Linked DNA regions of Diceros bicornis minor. The protein of the gene in region 2 interacts with the protein of the main gene of each other region in a pairwise test. Links are inferred from orthologs where the notes say so. Each region holds a gene or a part of one and is shown on either strand. Other genes may lie near its edges.

Evidence for each region.
Region 1: the proteins of phospholipid scramblase 1-like (region 2) and SLC35A2 interact in a two-hybrid assay, tested with the Homo sapiens proteins (2 studies listed by BioGRID and IntAct). The two-hybrid records come from large-scale screens. The link is inferred for Diceros bicornis minor from reciprocal best matches to the Homo sapiens genes PLSCR1 and SLC35A2.

Annotation. Positions count from the first base shown.
Region 1 is NC_080781.1:42,172,070-42,179,962, forward strand, and holds the start of SLC35A2 (UDP-galactose translocator), read right to left. Parts: upstream 3,020-7,893; 5' UTR 1,797-3,019; coding exon 1,706-1,796; intron 143-1,705; coding exon 1-142. Other genes in the region: PIM2 (serine/threonine-protein kinase pim-2), read right to left, coding at 4,096-4,259, 4,354-4,530, 5,021-5,393, 7,567-7,617. UniProt on the Homo sapiens protein: Transports uridine diphosphate galactose (UDP-galactose) from the cytosol into the Golgi apparatus, functioning as an antiporter that exchanges UDP-galactose for UMP.
Region 2 is NC_080741.1:8,031,448-8,038,928, reverse strand, and holds the start of phospholipid scramblase 1-like, read right to left. Parts: upstream 3,240-7,481; 5' UTR 2,813-3,239; intron 1,712-2,812; 5' UTR 1,698-1,711; coding exon 1,685-1,697; intron 1-1,684. UniProt on the Homo sapiens protein: Catalyzes calcium-induced ATP-independent rapid bidirectional and non-specific movement of phospholipids (lipid scrambling or lipid flip-flop) between the inner and outer leaflet of the plasma membrane resulting in collapse of the phospholipid asymmetry which leads to phosphatidylserine externalization on the cell surface.

The DNA.
Region 1 (7,893 bases), on a different chromosome or scaffold from region 2:
TTGAGCACTTCGGCCATGACCACAGCAGTGGTGGCAAAGAAGCGATCCCCAGGCAGCGTGCGGGCATAGCGGATGCTGAGGATGAGGGAGGCATTCTGGACCACCAGCACGGCTAGGGATATGTATTTGAGGCGCCGGTGAGCTGTGGGAATGGAAAGAGCAAGGGGGAAGAAGGAGTCAGAAGCTGCCGTGGTATAGCCCCACCGCCACCCTCTCCTCTCCTTTCTCAACCAGGATCCTCCTAGCCACCACCACTTCCTCCCTCGGCCTGCCTATCTGACCCAATGAAGGTCTGATCCCGCCTGCTTGCTTCTACTGCCTCAGCCACAGGCAGGAAGAGCCAGAAAGGGGGAAGTGGGCCCCACCCTGTCCAGCCCATACCTGGAATCCTTGCTGAGGTATCAGGAAACGGCTGAAGCAGGCACTGGAGACCCACCTCAGCCCCCTCTCTCCCTCTCCTGAGTGAGAAACAACCCTCCTCCAGACAGAATACCAACTATATTCTCGACATTTATTGACTGCTTACTGTGTGCCTATCACTGGGCTAAGGGATTTATATGGATTACCTCAACAGACCCCTATATCGCTCTGATCTCCAAAGGAACTATAAGGATTCTCATTTTATGGATGTGCAAACCGAAGATTTATATGAAATGATGCTTCTATTAAATGAGGGACTGTCCCATGTAAAGAATGATACCCCAATACAGGGAATGGGACCACTGTATAAGACATGTCCACCCCCTAAGGAATGGTCTTTCTCCCATATAATAAATTATTCCATTCCCTCACACTCAGAATGGTCTCTCCAGCCCCTCTTTCCTATGATGACTGATTCCTCCTGACCTAGAATGGTCTAGCAAATATAAGAAATGATTCCCCCACTGTCCCAAGGATTGAACCCCATATAATGAATGGTTATTCCACCAAGAATGGTCTGGTTCCCTCAATGATATAAGGAAATATTTCCCTACATTCCACATGGTCCAGTCATCCTCCCACCACCGCATCCCCCTACCTCCAGCCAAGGAGTTATTCCTTGTTCCACTCACACTCACAATGGACTCTCCCTACTATAAGGAAGGGCCTAGCACACTCAGAACGTCCTGTCTCTGCCATATAAGGAAGGACCCTCCGACTCCAACATACAACTAACCCTACCTCCATTAGGAAGGGACCCCCAGAACGGTCTCTCCGTATAATGAAGCACATCCCCATCCTCAAAATGGACTTTCTAAATCATGCAAGGAAGGACCTGCCCCACCTTAACTCACAATAGCCTCTGTCCCTTTATAAGGAAGAAACCATCACACTCAGAATAGCTTCTCCCTTCTATAAGGACGAACTCTTCCACTCGCAGAATGGTTTCTCCCTTCTATAAGGACAGACCTCACACACTCAGAATGGCCTTAGTGGTCTCAGCCTCCCCAAAAGAAAATACCACCCCCAGACTCAGAGTGGTCTCTACTCTCCATATGTGGAAGGGACCCCCCCCACCCTCAGAATGGTCTCTTCCCCGCCCCCAACACTCACAATGGTTCGTTCCGTACTCCCTACCCCCTCCCCACCACACTCACACATAGGTCGGTCCATATGGGATGCTGTCTCTCGCTTCAGTAAGGAACCTTCCTGACGCCCCCCCCTCCCCCCCCGGCGATCCCGACCCCCGCCCCGTTGCCGACTGCTCGGCCACAGCCTGTCTCACCCGCACTCGCGGTTCCAGGCTCCAGCGTCCCCGCAGAGACCGCCCCTGGCCCGGCCGCCGCGGTGGAACCGCCAGACCCAACCGCTGCCATGTTGGCATCTGCCTGGCCCGTCCCCTCGGCAACAGCAGGCCACTTCCGTGTCCGTCACTTCCGCTTCCGGGCCTCCGGGATGGGGCTGGGGCGAATGAGGGGCTGGCCCTAGCAGTGGCTTTTCTCCTCCGCTCCTGAACACGGAATCTAAGACAGCGGTCTCGGGATTTCCAAATTCCGTCGAGATCTGGAGACCCGGCACGCCGCCAGGTCAGCCTCCCGCCGTCCTTGCAGCGCCTCATTGGCCCATTCTCGTTAGTAGACCCGCCCTCGTCCTCCTTGATTCCGCTTTCCGTATCACCCGCCCATCCCGACTCCTCGTCTCATTGGTTCGGCTGCCCCTCTTCTATCTTGGCTATTTGTTGGCACCTTCTTCAGATGGCACCGCCCTTTCCGCATCAAAACTCGTAGGTCCTTCCCGGTTGGCCTTAAGTTCCTCTTTCCCCTCTTCTGGCGAGGGCCCGCTCCCTGGAGAGCCCGCGGGCATCTGGGAGGGCAATGAGACTTTGAGGGGATGGGGCAGGTGCGAGTCAGGCAGGTAAGCCAGCAGATAAAAGCAGAGCAGCAGAGGATATACTAATGAAAAGGCACAGGTGAGTTGAGACTGAGAGAAGGGAGGACAAGTTACTCACCACTGAGGATGGAAAAGTGAGAAGGGGACAGGTAAGCCAGCAGGTGAGAGGCTTACAGGTTAGCTTTTGGAAGCAGGGCAAGAAAGGGTACAGCTGAGGTCAGGACAAGTGAAACCAAGATAGAACATGGCAGGGCAGGTAAGTCAAGAGTTGAGAAAGGAGAGATGACAGGGATGAGCAGGTGAGAAGGCAAGGGAGAGGTGAAAAGGTAAGGGCAAAACAGGTGAGTACACCTGGACGTTATTAAAAAACAAGGATGGGCTGGAAAGATTCCTCTCAGCGCTCAACCCCGGGCCGTCCTCACCAGTACCCTGAAAGTGCTTTTCTTCTCCCAGGGGGAAGGGATTTATTTCCTCCCCTGGGACTGGGGGAAAGGAGTTTTCTCTGCCTCTGAGCTGGCCATCTTTGATTTGGGGATGTGTCCCAAACATCTTCAGTGTCTACAAAATCTGCAGTGGAGCCCTTCTGCACATACTGGGTGCTACGTAAGAGCTGGGGGGGATCAACAGTTTTTCTTTGTGGTCCTGCTTAAATGAACCCATAAAAGATCTTTAGGATGGCACCACAAGACTGAGGCTTCCTGAAGGCATAGGGATCCAGTCCATCTCGCTCTTGGCTCAGCATACAGTAGATGCTCCACAAATGCCTTGCTACATACATCTACACATGGCCAGTCGCTTGTGATTCTATTACATTTATTAAACAGTGGGTTTCCTTGCTGCATCCACAAATGGCCAGTCACTTCTGATTCTATTACATTTATTAAATAGTGGGTTTCCACACATGGCTTTTTAAATAATCCAGGCAGGGGGAGAAGGGAAGAGGACACAGTTGGAGCTCCCCTCCCCCTAATACATAAGTATTTACATTTCAGCAACTGGACAATCCTGGCTCAGAAGGAGGCAGCAAGAATTGAAAAAGGTGGAGGGGGGAGCCCCAGGAGAACAAACAATAAGACTTATTTCCCCCACCCCATCCCTCAAAAAAAAAACCCATTCACCCCATCCTAGTGGACTCTGGTGGTGTCCATCTCCCATTCCTTCCCAAATCATGGAAGTAGGGTTCTCCTCACCAGAATAAGAGCACTTGGGATAACAGAGTAGGGTCCCCTCACAAAAAGAAAGAAAGAAAAAAAAAAGAGCCCTGGGATAACAATAGGGCATTACCTCCCCCAGAATAAGCAACCCTGGGCTGAGGTAGGCAAGCAGCTTAACTGAATATGGGACCCTAGGCTCGGGGAAAGGGTCCCTTTGCTAAAATATGAGCTGCTGGGGTATTAGAAGGAAAGCACCCTTGCCCAAGTAAGAGCATTTGAACTAAGTTTGTGTGGTGGTAGCAGGAGGTGCTAGTGTAGGGGTTATAACATCACAATAAGAGTCCTGGGGCTCAGAATGAAAGTAACTTCCAAGCAAATAAACATCCTTAGCAAAATGAGAAGTCCCCGCTCCAGAATAAGAGGCCATAAATTCTGGGAGGAAGGCTCCTTAGCAGGATTGGGATGGGGACTGGGCAGACTTGGCTTATGTCTTCTGACCTTTGATCCCCAATCTCAGACCCTAGTAACACTGAATTTTTAGTGACCTGTAAAACCAGGTCAACATATGTCCATCTATCCCTGCGGCATGGCCATGGGATGGCTATTCCAACTAGTGGGGGCCTGGCCAGGACTAGGGCATCAGGGACCAAGCCAAAGGGGTGGGACCTCCTTTGGGGGCACTGAGGGGTGCATCCTCGGCTGGTGTCTGCATCCAGGGGTCCAGCAGGATCTCCTCCAGTGAGGGTCGGGCAGAGGGTTTGGGGGCCAGGCACCGGCGGATGAGGGCACAGCAGTCTGCAGGGCAGAAGCACACAAGAGATTAGCAGTTGCGAGCACTAGTCACTGGGAGGGATGGAGTCCACTGGGCTGGGGCCAGTGAGGGCCTCACCTGGGGAGACATGGGCAGGGAAGTGGAGCTCAGCCTCCAGAATCTCTTGGTCCCTCTCGAAGGGAATGTCCCCACACACCATGTCGTAGAGGAGGATACCCAGTGACCAGACAGTGGCTGGGAGTGCGTGGTACTGATGATGAGAGATCCACTCTGGGGGGCTGTACACCCTTGTCCCTGCACGCAAGCCAGAGGTTAGACCACTCTCTGTTAATGCCCTTCTTCCCACCCCACTCTCCCCAGGAAGTATGGTCCCCTCACCAGAATTAAGATAACTCACTCTATATGAGGGTCCCCTTACCAGAATAGGAGCTCTTTATAACAGCAGGGTCTCATCACCAGAAAGAGCGCAATTAAGATAAAAGATTACTCTCAACGGATTAAAGCACTTAAAAGTAGGATCCCCTTACCAGAAAAAGAATACTCAGGATAATAACAGGATCCCCTCAGCAGAATAAGAGCCCAGAACAAGGTGAGAGCGCTGTCAGAAGATGGACTTTATCAGAGGGCAAGGCTTGAGAGTCCCCAATATTAAAAATCAAGAACCTTATAACGGTACATTATAGATCAAGGGTTACAGCACACCTTACCACTGGAAGTCAAAGGTCAAGAGGCCATCAAGATAAAAGGTAAATCCCCCCCGCACTGAGATTTAGGGAAGCCTTACCATCAAAGTCAGTGTAGGGTTCATCATGAAGCAGGGCGCCAGAACCAAAATCGATGAGTTTGGCACAGCCCCGGCGGAGGTCCATTAGGATGTTCTCATCCTTGATGTCACGATGGACAACTCCACGGGCATGGCAGTGCCGAACGGCTGCCACTACCTGGGCAAAGAGGCAGCGGCTTCGGGCTTCACCCAATGGGCCCTGCTCTGTGATGTAGTCAAAGAGATCCTGGGCGGGCAAAGGCCGCTCGAGGACCAGCATGAATCCCTCTGGTGTCTCAAACCAGTCAAGCAGGCGAATCACACCAGGGTGTCCACCACCTGCACCCACCTTCCATAGCAGGGCCACTTCTAGTGGGCATGTGACCGAGTCTGACTGTGGGGGGAAGCAGGGAGAGCAAAGAGAACACAGACATCAGGCCAGCAGCTCTGAGGCTGACTTTTCACCTGAACTTAAATCATAGACCCTCAGCCTCCTAACTGTGTGGCCTTGAGCAACCTGCTTTCCTCCCTGGACCTCAGTTTCCTTGTCTTAAGGGCTCAAACTCACACAGCCACTGGGAAGGTGAATTGAGCCTAAAGCCTGTGCACATCTGGCATGTAACAGGAGCTCACTAAATATTTGAAGAATAAATGAAAGTGGTTCTTAACAAAAGGCCTTTGGCAGAAGCAGCAACTGATGAACACTACTGTGTAATACTTTATCTGTTTTGTTCAAGGACATCTCCAAGGAGAGTAGAACAGTACTTTACACCCAGCAGGTACTCAATAAATGTCTGTCCAATAGATGAAAGTATAGCATAGAGTCTGGCATGGAGTTAGCACTCAGTAAATACTATTATTGTATAATGGTGTTGGGGAAGAGGGAGAATCCCCCCCCAGCCGCCACCGCCCTTTCCCTTAAGGCTCTATGGCTGGCCAAATAATTAAAAGACAGGTTAGCAGGAGAAAATAATACCAAGTTTAATAACATGTATACATGGGAGAAACCAGGGAAACTGAGTTTCTCAACAAAATGGCAGAGATTCTCATCTTAAATACTATCTTCACCTAAAGACAAAGGAGGATGTTGGGGGAGGGGGGGAGTCAGTTGTGGGAGATTACCAGAAAAGCACAGTAAACAAGAGTAAGGTTATCATGCAGATTTAAGGCCTCCTCTTCCACACTGATAAGTTTCTAGAAATGAGGTCATCCCCCCTCTTCCCAGTAGGGAGGGAGGTACCTTTACAAATGGATATTTCCCTTATAAATGTAAATGTTTGTCTGGCAACTCTTTGCAGGACCATCTACAGAATGTGGCCTGGGGGAGACAGAACTTTTGATAAGATGGGCTTGTTGGTGCCTTTCCTATTGTAACATCTATTTTACATTATATTACACCCATCAAGAGACAGTGGCTCCTTCCTGAAACAGGTTTTCTATGTTAAATTCTTTAGGCAGTTTGGGGGAGGTCAAATGTCCATCAGAGAAAATAATCAAGGTAAAGAGATATATTTTGGGGTGGCCAAATTTTGCTCTCCCACAATGGTTTGTCTGTTTTGTTCACTGACATAGCTCAAGCGCTAGAACAGTGCTGGCTAACAGGGCTCAATACATATTTGTTAAATAGGTGAAAACAACTAGTAGAAAAGGACCTAGCACAAAACGAGCTCTCAATAAATGTGGTATTTTGTGAATTGCCTAGAATTGTGTCTGGCACACAGCAGGTGCTCAATATACAAATGTTAAATAGCTGAAAGTGATTAATTGCAAAGGAACTGGCACAAAGTAAGAACTCAATAATGTTATCATGTGATATTTTGTCATTGTCACCAAGCACCTAGAACCGTGTTGAACGAAGGTCTTAGTGGAATTTGGAATACTATAAGCTTTTATAATGAAGCAAAAAGCCTGAGGCATACAGTCGGTGCTCAATAAAAGGCATAAATGTTACTGGCCACAAAGCCACCCCACTCTAGAAGCCCCGCGTGGGCACACAGACTGCCAGAAGCAGCCTTCCTGCCTGAGGTGGAGCCCTCTCCTGGCCAGTCCACTGACTTGCACAGCCCCAGACAGGTTTTCTCACAGCGATGAGAATGCCGCTACTACGCAGGCGCATTTTCTCCCTCTTAGTCTCACAGGCTGCGCAGGCGCAGCTTCCCAGAGCCCGCCAGGGGGCGCTCCCGCCTCTACAACTTACCCAGACCCGCCCTGTTGTCCGTTAGCGCTCTAACGGCAGAAGAGAAGCAGCCACGGTCACCATGGCAACCAGTGACCTCTGCCCCTCTTTACCCACCAGCATGCCCTGCGGGCAGCCCCTGAAGCAGTGTTTGGAGGGAGCATGAGAAAGGGGGTTTGGAGGGGAGAATCCAGGGCTCTAGGAGAACTGGGGTGAGTCAGAACTGTATGGAGGTGTGGATGTCACCATAGGGGAGTAAACATGGGCTGGTAGGAGTATTCTCCTCACCATTACAGGGCCCAAGGAGTCACAGGAGCGTAGAAAGGCAAGGGGGTAAGTCCATCGTCAGAGATGGCGTCGCCAGGTCAGGAAGGACTCCAAAGATACTCACCAAGGGGGACCAGCCCAGCACACGATTCCGGGGGATCACTTTGATGGCCACCTGGAGAAGACGGCTGAGGTGAGGGGGCCAGCAAATTATCCCCCCCAGACCCCTCCCAGTCTTGACTCACACCCTAGTCTTTCTGGTCCTAAGCACACCACACTCCAAAAGGAGCTGGGGCTTCTCCCCTGCCCTCCAAGTCCCCAGAACCAAATTCACCTCTCTCACCATCCTTAGCCCTGATATCTCCCTTCTCAGGCCTCAGGACCCCTCACTCAGGACTCCAGGTCTTGAGTTCTGAATTTCCTAACACCCCAAGCCCTCGATCTTCCCATC
Region 2 (7,481 bases):
ATGTGGTTTCAGCAGGAAGGCTGAATTGTGGGCCCCCTTTCTCCTCCATTCACTTAGCTTCATAATAACTTCAGCAGAATGGAGTCCATGGAGACTCTGCACATTCAGGCAACAGAGAATCCTCTACTTCAATCAGCGCTGTTCTCTGAACAGACACTGCGACATACCCCGAATTACCACAGATCTCTGAAATGCCACAAGTCATTTCATCCCAGCCATTCCCTTCTGTTTCTGGTCTTCAGGTCGTGGCCTAGCTCCTAGTTCTCTAGCTCTCAAGGCTCTGCTCACGGCCCCCACTCCCAACCCAAGCTGGAAACTACAAGATCAGACTCAACAGATCTCAAGGAAACACACTGCAAGTCAGACTTAAAGACCTACCCTGAATTGATACGTCGTATTTTGGTATCTCTTAACAGTACCGTTGTTTGAACAAATACACACACATATACAGGAGCTGACAGATTCAAGAAATTAAGAGCTCATAATCTCTGGAGTTTTGGTACCAGAGCAATGATCCTGGTTTTAGGAATTCAGGGAAATTCATACAAAGAGAAAATAAGTGAATGGGCAAGGGGTCAAGTAGACCAAAGAGTATACGAATTATGGATGGGTTTCTGCATGTGTGAAATGCAACTTGAAATAACTTACAAAAATCACATTGCCTTAAAGCTATTTTACTTTTACTTCTCTATATATGTATATTTACATATATACATACATTTTATTTATTTCTATTTATGCTCACACACACACACACACCATTATATACATGATGCTGAAGAGTTAAAAGGTGACCGTAGCCAAAGGAATCTTTTCTAAAGTGATGTGAAGCATCCTAAAGCTTGTAGCAAATAAAACAGTTTAATACTATACAAATTTACATTTAAAAAGCTTTGAGTTTTGTAAATAAAATTCAATTAATATAGCAAACATTAAGAGAAGACATGAAACTTCATGAAAGACAGCCGATGTTTCTGGTCCTAAAAAGTATGTGAGGTATCTAGCAAGGCTGACACTGCGGTGAGAGAGAAACATCTCTGTGGCCATCTAAACAAAGAAAAACAGAGAATATAAATCCTTCAGAAAATAGGACTTTGTTTTTCATATTTTCCCCGATATGTATTGTTTTTCTCTTCAGGATCTCTGAGAAAGACAAAGTCTTTTATTACATACTTGGTCAATACCTATCTTATTTAGAATTTTCTTGAGAGAGAAAAAGTCAGAACATAATAATTGGTATTGATTTAAATCTATTCACGTGTATATGTTATGAAATATATATCGGGGTTGTATCTGAGGATTTTATTACAACAGACTGACATTAAATTTATTATCTGTTAATTAATATGATTTGAATAATCATTATGTATATAAAACACACATAGAAAAGAGAAAACTGATCTGGATGGAATATAGTATAAATTATACGAGTATTTCACAATAAGCCTAAAATTTCTTAGGTTTATCTATGGCTTTTTTATTCTTAAAGGGAAAATTAGTGGTAGTGGATATTTGCATACATCTACTCTATAATCAAAACAGTAAACTAGACTTTGGATCCTGGAGCATAAACACAAAGCAAATTATATCCTTTCAGAAACCGAATAAAACATTATGACAAATAACACATTAAAAACAGACTTAACATTATGAAGAAAGTAAACACTTAAAGAAAACTACTTACTTTGTTTGTCCATGATTTAAAGAAGTTCTGAAAAAGAAGACAATATTAATAGACTGTCTACAAATTTACAGGTGAAATTTGACTGTTGAAACAAGATACTCTGACAATAACACATAGGATATTCCTCTATTCAACCTAGTCTACCAGAATCTGGTCATTTAAACCCTTCGGCCTTGACCCCATTCCCCATGGCCGTGGCTCTGAGTAGGACTTTAGAAGTTGTGGGTCAGCCCAGGATGGGGGACAATTTCTAAAAACCTTGGGAGAAGAGGGTCCAATGACGCGACAGCAGGAAGGAAACACTGTTAGCCTAAGACCCCACATCGTAACCAAGTTAAAAATCAGAGCCTTCCAACCTAGACAACCTAAACGGAGCATGTGATCCAGTACCTGGCTTCAGGGCTGGGCTCCATGCACGGTTCAACAGGACAGATACAGAGGTTAGCTACCAGGTCACACTACTGCAAAGATCTCTGGCTTCCAGGTCCTGTGGAAGTGTTCTGCCCAACATGAACAGTAAATCTGAAGAGGCCTGACCCTTTGTTCTATGGTTCAAGTCCTGCTGTTAGCCAGAGAAGCCACTCTCAGGGGTTGTCATAGTTGTAGCACCATGACAATCCAACAGAAACTTTGTGTATGGTTACATACACAAAGGAAAATGATACACTACAGGAAAATAATAATAAAAAACATTGTACTCAGTACTTCTGCCTTCCGTTGCCTTGATCCCATCCTAGTCCTTTCCACTACTACCCAGTCACTATTTTCCCTATCTCTTCACCTTAAATCCAATCCCCTGTATGCCTGTTAATTACAATTAACATAGGAGGCAAAAACGCTGTTACCTGACTGTTTTATCTTGGACCCACACACCAATATGATCAGCCCTGCTCCTCTCAGGCCCTCTCCAGTCTTGGCTGCCCCTTTAATAACTCCTCCAACTGCGTCATCCTAAATGGTAAATAAAAGGCAACTGATGCCTCTATATCCTTAACTAAAATCTGGTGTTCCTAAGAAAAAAACCACGTCCTGCCTTTTCTTTTAATTTTATATCTTTATTATTGCCTACTTTAAGCTTAAAATTTCATAATCTAGTAAAACTCTTAAGAACAATTCAATTATAGTCACCTCTTAATTAAATATACTCAAGAAGTTCAGCAATGGGTGAAGAATTCAGAATGGGTTTACTTGGCCTTGGAATAAAGCAAAAATTTTGAGTTACTGATTTGATTTCTTGAATTTTCTTAGAATAACAGTAACCTGAGTTTTCATTAACTAGTTACAAACTAACTGCTGTGGACCTCCTCAGGCTAGAATGGCAAAAAGATTAAAATTTATGTTTTTCTGTAATTAATCCATAACATGATCAATAAGCTAATAAACACATGCAACCGAAGTAGGCTAAAAGTTTTCATAGGCCACACTTCTGTTTAGGGTCTGTCATAGAAAGAACTATAAAAGGAGACTAAATTCATACATACCAATGCCACAATTACTTTTGTCAGCCTCACATTTCCATGATCAAAGATTATATGTTAAAAGTAATACCCATTACCTTAAAATATGCCAAAAGTACCTTAAGAAATACACAAAATGAAAAGACTGAAGTTCTGCAGTGGAAATAGATAGTATCCCTTAATTAACACACTGCACTAAACATCTCTGAAGTGTTTATCTATCTTTTGTTGCTCCCAGGATACCACTCTTTACTATGCTTAATTAAAAAAAATGTTCTACGGCCTTTAACCAATTTAATGGCAATTTTAAAGGACTACTGTTTCCATCATTCTCCCTTTGCCTATATGTCAGAAAAGCACTCATTTCAAGGATAAATCCTGAATAATACCCACAGGAGGAACATAGGCAAGTCCCTCCATGTGGGGGGGACTTTAAAATTATTAAAATAAAATTTTTTTAATTTAAAAAAATTAAAATATTTTTAATTAAAACATTTTTTTTCTTACATTTAGTTGTTTGAGCCTGGGAAGTCCAGTGCCAGTCAGAAAGAAAGGATGTGCCAGAAGGAGAGGGAATTCATAAACGAATCTATGCATCATATTAGGAACAGGTGGAGGCTCTTAAGCAATGGAGCACCACAAGTTCCCCAGTCCTTGCCGAATGAGCACCAACTACGCACGCGAGAGTACTTACCCTTCACGGCCTCAGAGATCATTCCCCCCTCGCACACAAATCAAAGGAAGCAGAACTAAACAGACTCTAAAACAGGGCTCATTCCTTCATATTTGCTCTTTTCCTTCCTATTTGGTTACATTATTTTGAGTGAAACTGTAGGTTTGCGAAGATGAGTATCTGTTGTCAAAACTACTGCAGAACAAAATCGGGGTCCTCACTTTCCTGTAGGTTTTAGTATTTTTGTGGTTACATGGTATGTCAACCATGAAAAATGGTATGTCATAAGCTCTGTGCAAAAAGTTAAGTGACAGGTGTACCTGCAGATGTGCCAGGTGGAAGGAAGCACTTGGGGAATAAAGATGTCCACCAGGGTCATCCCTGTCCTCTCTCACTTCCTATCTTAAGGATTTTTTGATTTCCTCAAACTTAATGGGTCTATTACAAGACATAATATCACTCAGTTTTGGAAATGACTGGGCTGAGCCCTGGGTGAATTAATTAGTGAATTAATTAACATGGTAACTTTTAAATAATGCTTTCCACTACTCCTAGTAAGAAACAAATCCAGGAAAGACTTCCAAGAAAGAGAAAATCATATTTATCCTGTACTAAAAGAAAAACGTCTCTAATAAAGTCATATTAGGTATTGTACCTCTGGAATCTTAATTACTTCAGGACAAATACAGAACTTCAAATTAGAATCTGATGGACTCTGTTAAATGAGAGCTTCTGAGGAGATTAAGGCATCATATGCTATATACATATAAGTATATCTCTGTTAAGATTATTCCCTCAGGCACCATAAGCCCCACTGCTGCTCTGGGCTATTTGATGATTATAAACCTCCACTACCATGAAGACAGAGGAACACTGCAGGTGACATCCAATTATGGCTCCACAATCAGTTACAGTGAAACCCTTGACCCATCTCTTGAGTTCCTGAAATTTCTCTCTTATTGCTTCCAAAAAGTATTAACATAAAATCTGAAACCCAAGGGGGAAGCATCCCTAATTTTGGAAGATCCTAAAACTACTATGCCTATAAACTAGGCATAAACTAGATTTGGATTATTTATCCAAATTTACTTCTTAATTGCCTAAGAACAAATCAGTTAACTTTTTTCTCAGAGTCCCAAGATGGGGATCTATGTTCCGAATTATTTTAGCAAAATGTTACTGCTCTAAAAACAATCACAGAATTCTATGTCCCTAGCTTCCCATGAAGACGTGAGAATGAGACACTAGACTAGGAGGGGAGGAACCGGGCACAGGGAGTGGAGGACCCAACACTTGCTGAGGTAAGTCACAAATTAGAAAATTTCCACGTGGTTCAGCTTATGTCTGTAGGTAAATTTTGTGCATTTAAAAAGGTTTAGTTGACATCTAAGGACAAAAACATTTCATCTGTTGAACTGTGGTTTTGGTAAAAGATAAGCAGAGCACAGACAGATGGGTTTACACAAATAGGTGGGCCAAGATGGTGGTGAGAACTCGAGCACACCAGTCCACGGTACATGCAAGCTACGGGACAGAGGTGGGGTGGCTGAGGCCGATGGAGAAACGCAAGCCTGGTAACAGGGAGACTTCCCGGAAAACTCCACTCCTATATTTTAGGTTCAAGAAAACAAAGCAAATGTGTTCAGAACCATTTTGGATAGCATGTTATTGTAAACCTTGAAGAAAAAAGTAGATATTACATCAACTGGGACGAACAGAGAGAGGGGTGTCAAGGGGTCTACAAGTAAACCAGGGACAAAGGAAACAAACGCATCTTCATGTGAGTTATCCTAGGCTGGCTGTTTCCTTATTCCTGAAAAGCCTTTGCTGACAAGTGAGCTCCCTCACACGTTTGAGTCGTTTCCTTTCCTCCTTATAAGTGAGGAAACTATAACCAGGGAGTAAATGAGCACTCAACGTTCTACAGCTCACTCACTAGCTGAATTACAGTAACTCAGGACTCATGCCCTTTGCATTCATGTCCTTGATTCATTGAAAAAAAAGACATTCTCTCAAATTGTCAAGTTTCTTGGAAACTTGTTAAAAGACTATTTATGATATCTTACGTAAGGCAGAAAGCATGGAATTTTAAATTTACTCGTGGCCATTGTGTTTTTATTAGGCCAGGCAAAAGTTTTTTCTAAGCGCTTATTAAATTCAAAATTTGGAAAATGAAAAGCACAGTTGTTAGTATTGAGTAACTGCAGTGCTTTGGCTTTTTAAATTTAGCACTATTTAAGAAAGTGCAGTACAGACACATATATATAAAGGCATGTGTACATATATAGACATGTATGTAAATATTCACTTAGTATAAAGCTTGTGCCTTTTTTCAAAGAATATTGATTGAAGGCCTAGAGCATGTAAGGCAATGTAACAACCACTAGAACAGAATGACTGACAATTAACAATATACGATTACAAATACTCTAAGTGCTGTGAAAAATCATAATGGCGCTCTAAGAAAGAGTTATGAGGGCACTCATTTAGATTGGGGGCGGCTTGTCAAGAAAGTCAGAGCAGAAGGAAGTCTAAAATCAACCAACCAGACCATGGAGGTGTTGGGGGCGGGGGAGGGGAGAGGCATTATAGACAGAGGGGACAGAGGAGACTGCATAAGTGGAAGTCCTGTGGCAGGAAGGAGCTTGGCTCATTCAAGGGAATGAAAGGTCTGTGTGTTACAGAGCAAAAGAGGAAGAGACCACTCGACATAGGGCTGGAGAGGGGTACAGGGGACAGTTCTTGCACCTTTAATGGCTCTCCACCTATACTCTAAGCTCTCAAAGGCCAGATCACTGCCTGTCTTGTCCAGGACAAGACACTTAATTGGTGCTTGTTGATTCAACAATGTGTGTACAGTATTATTTCACTCCTTTCTGTTGGAAAGAACAGTTCCCTTACAGATGCGAAGGCTGCTTAATCTGTAACCAACCATTTTACCTGTCTCTTCTCCACCCCACTGTGGAAATCCACTTACTTCTCTTTTCATTTATGTTTCACTTCCTTGTGTATTGTATACACCCTTGTGTAAGGTGCACTAAGAGAAAGTTCTGCTGTGACCAAAGTTCAAGAAAAAGGGGGCCCAAAATCACTTGACACTTCCTATTAAGCAAGTGACAATTGTACTAACCCCGTACCTCCTCTTGCTACACTAGGAGAAACAATGACTGTTCCTGGGACAGGAAAGTAGCCACCCCAGGCCTTCCAGTAATAACTGTATAAATCAGATCACGTGGAAACTAGATGGTGTGCTTGGGGAAGAAGGGACTTTGTCAAATAGCAATAAAAACTAACTTTTATTGGGTATTTTCTGTAGTGCCAGACACTACTCTAACCACGTCACAGTAATACATGTCTTACTGTAACTCTTGTAACTCTTTCTAATCGTTACACGATTTCAGTGGTGATGCGTGGAAGAAACTGATGCGAAGGAACTGGCCTGAACCCCACAGATAGTAGCAGAGGCAGGAATCAGCCCATGCAAGTGGGCTCCCGAGCTAATGGTCTAGCCTCTCTGCTAGAAACCTACTCTGTCTTTGCAATCCTGGTGTTCCACAGTGCCTAGCATAGTTTTGTGCTCCAGCCATACTCCTAATTAATACTTACTGTTAGATGACAGCTAGCAGGCTGTAGTAATCGTCCCTTCTAATTCCCCCAATATGCTGGC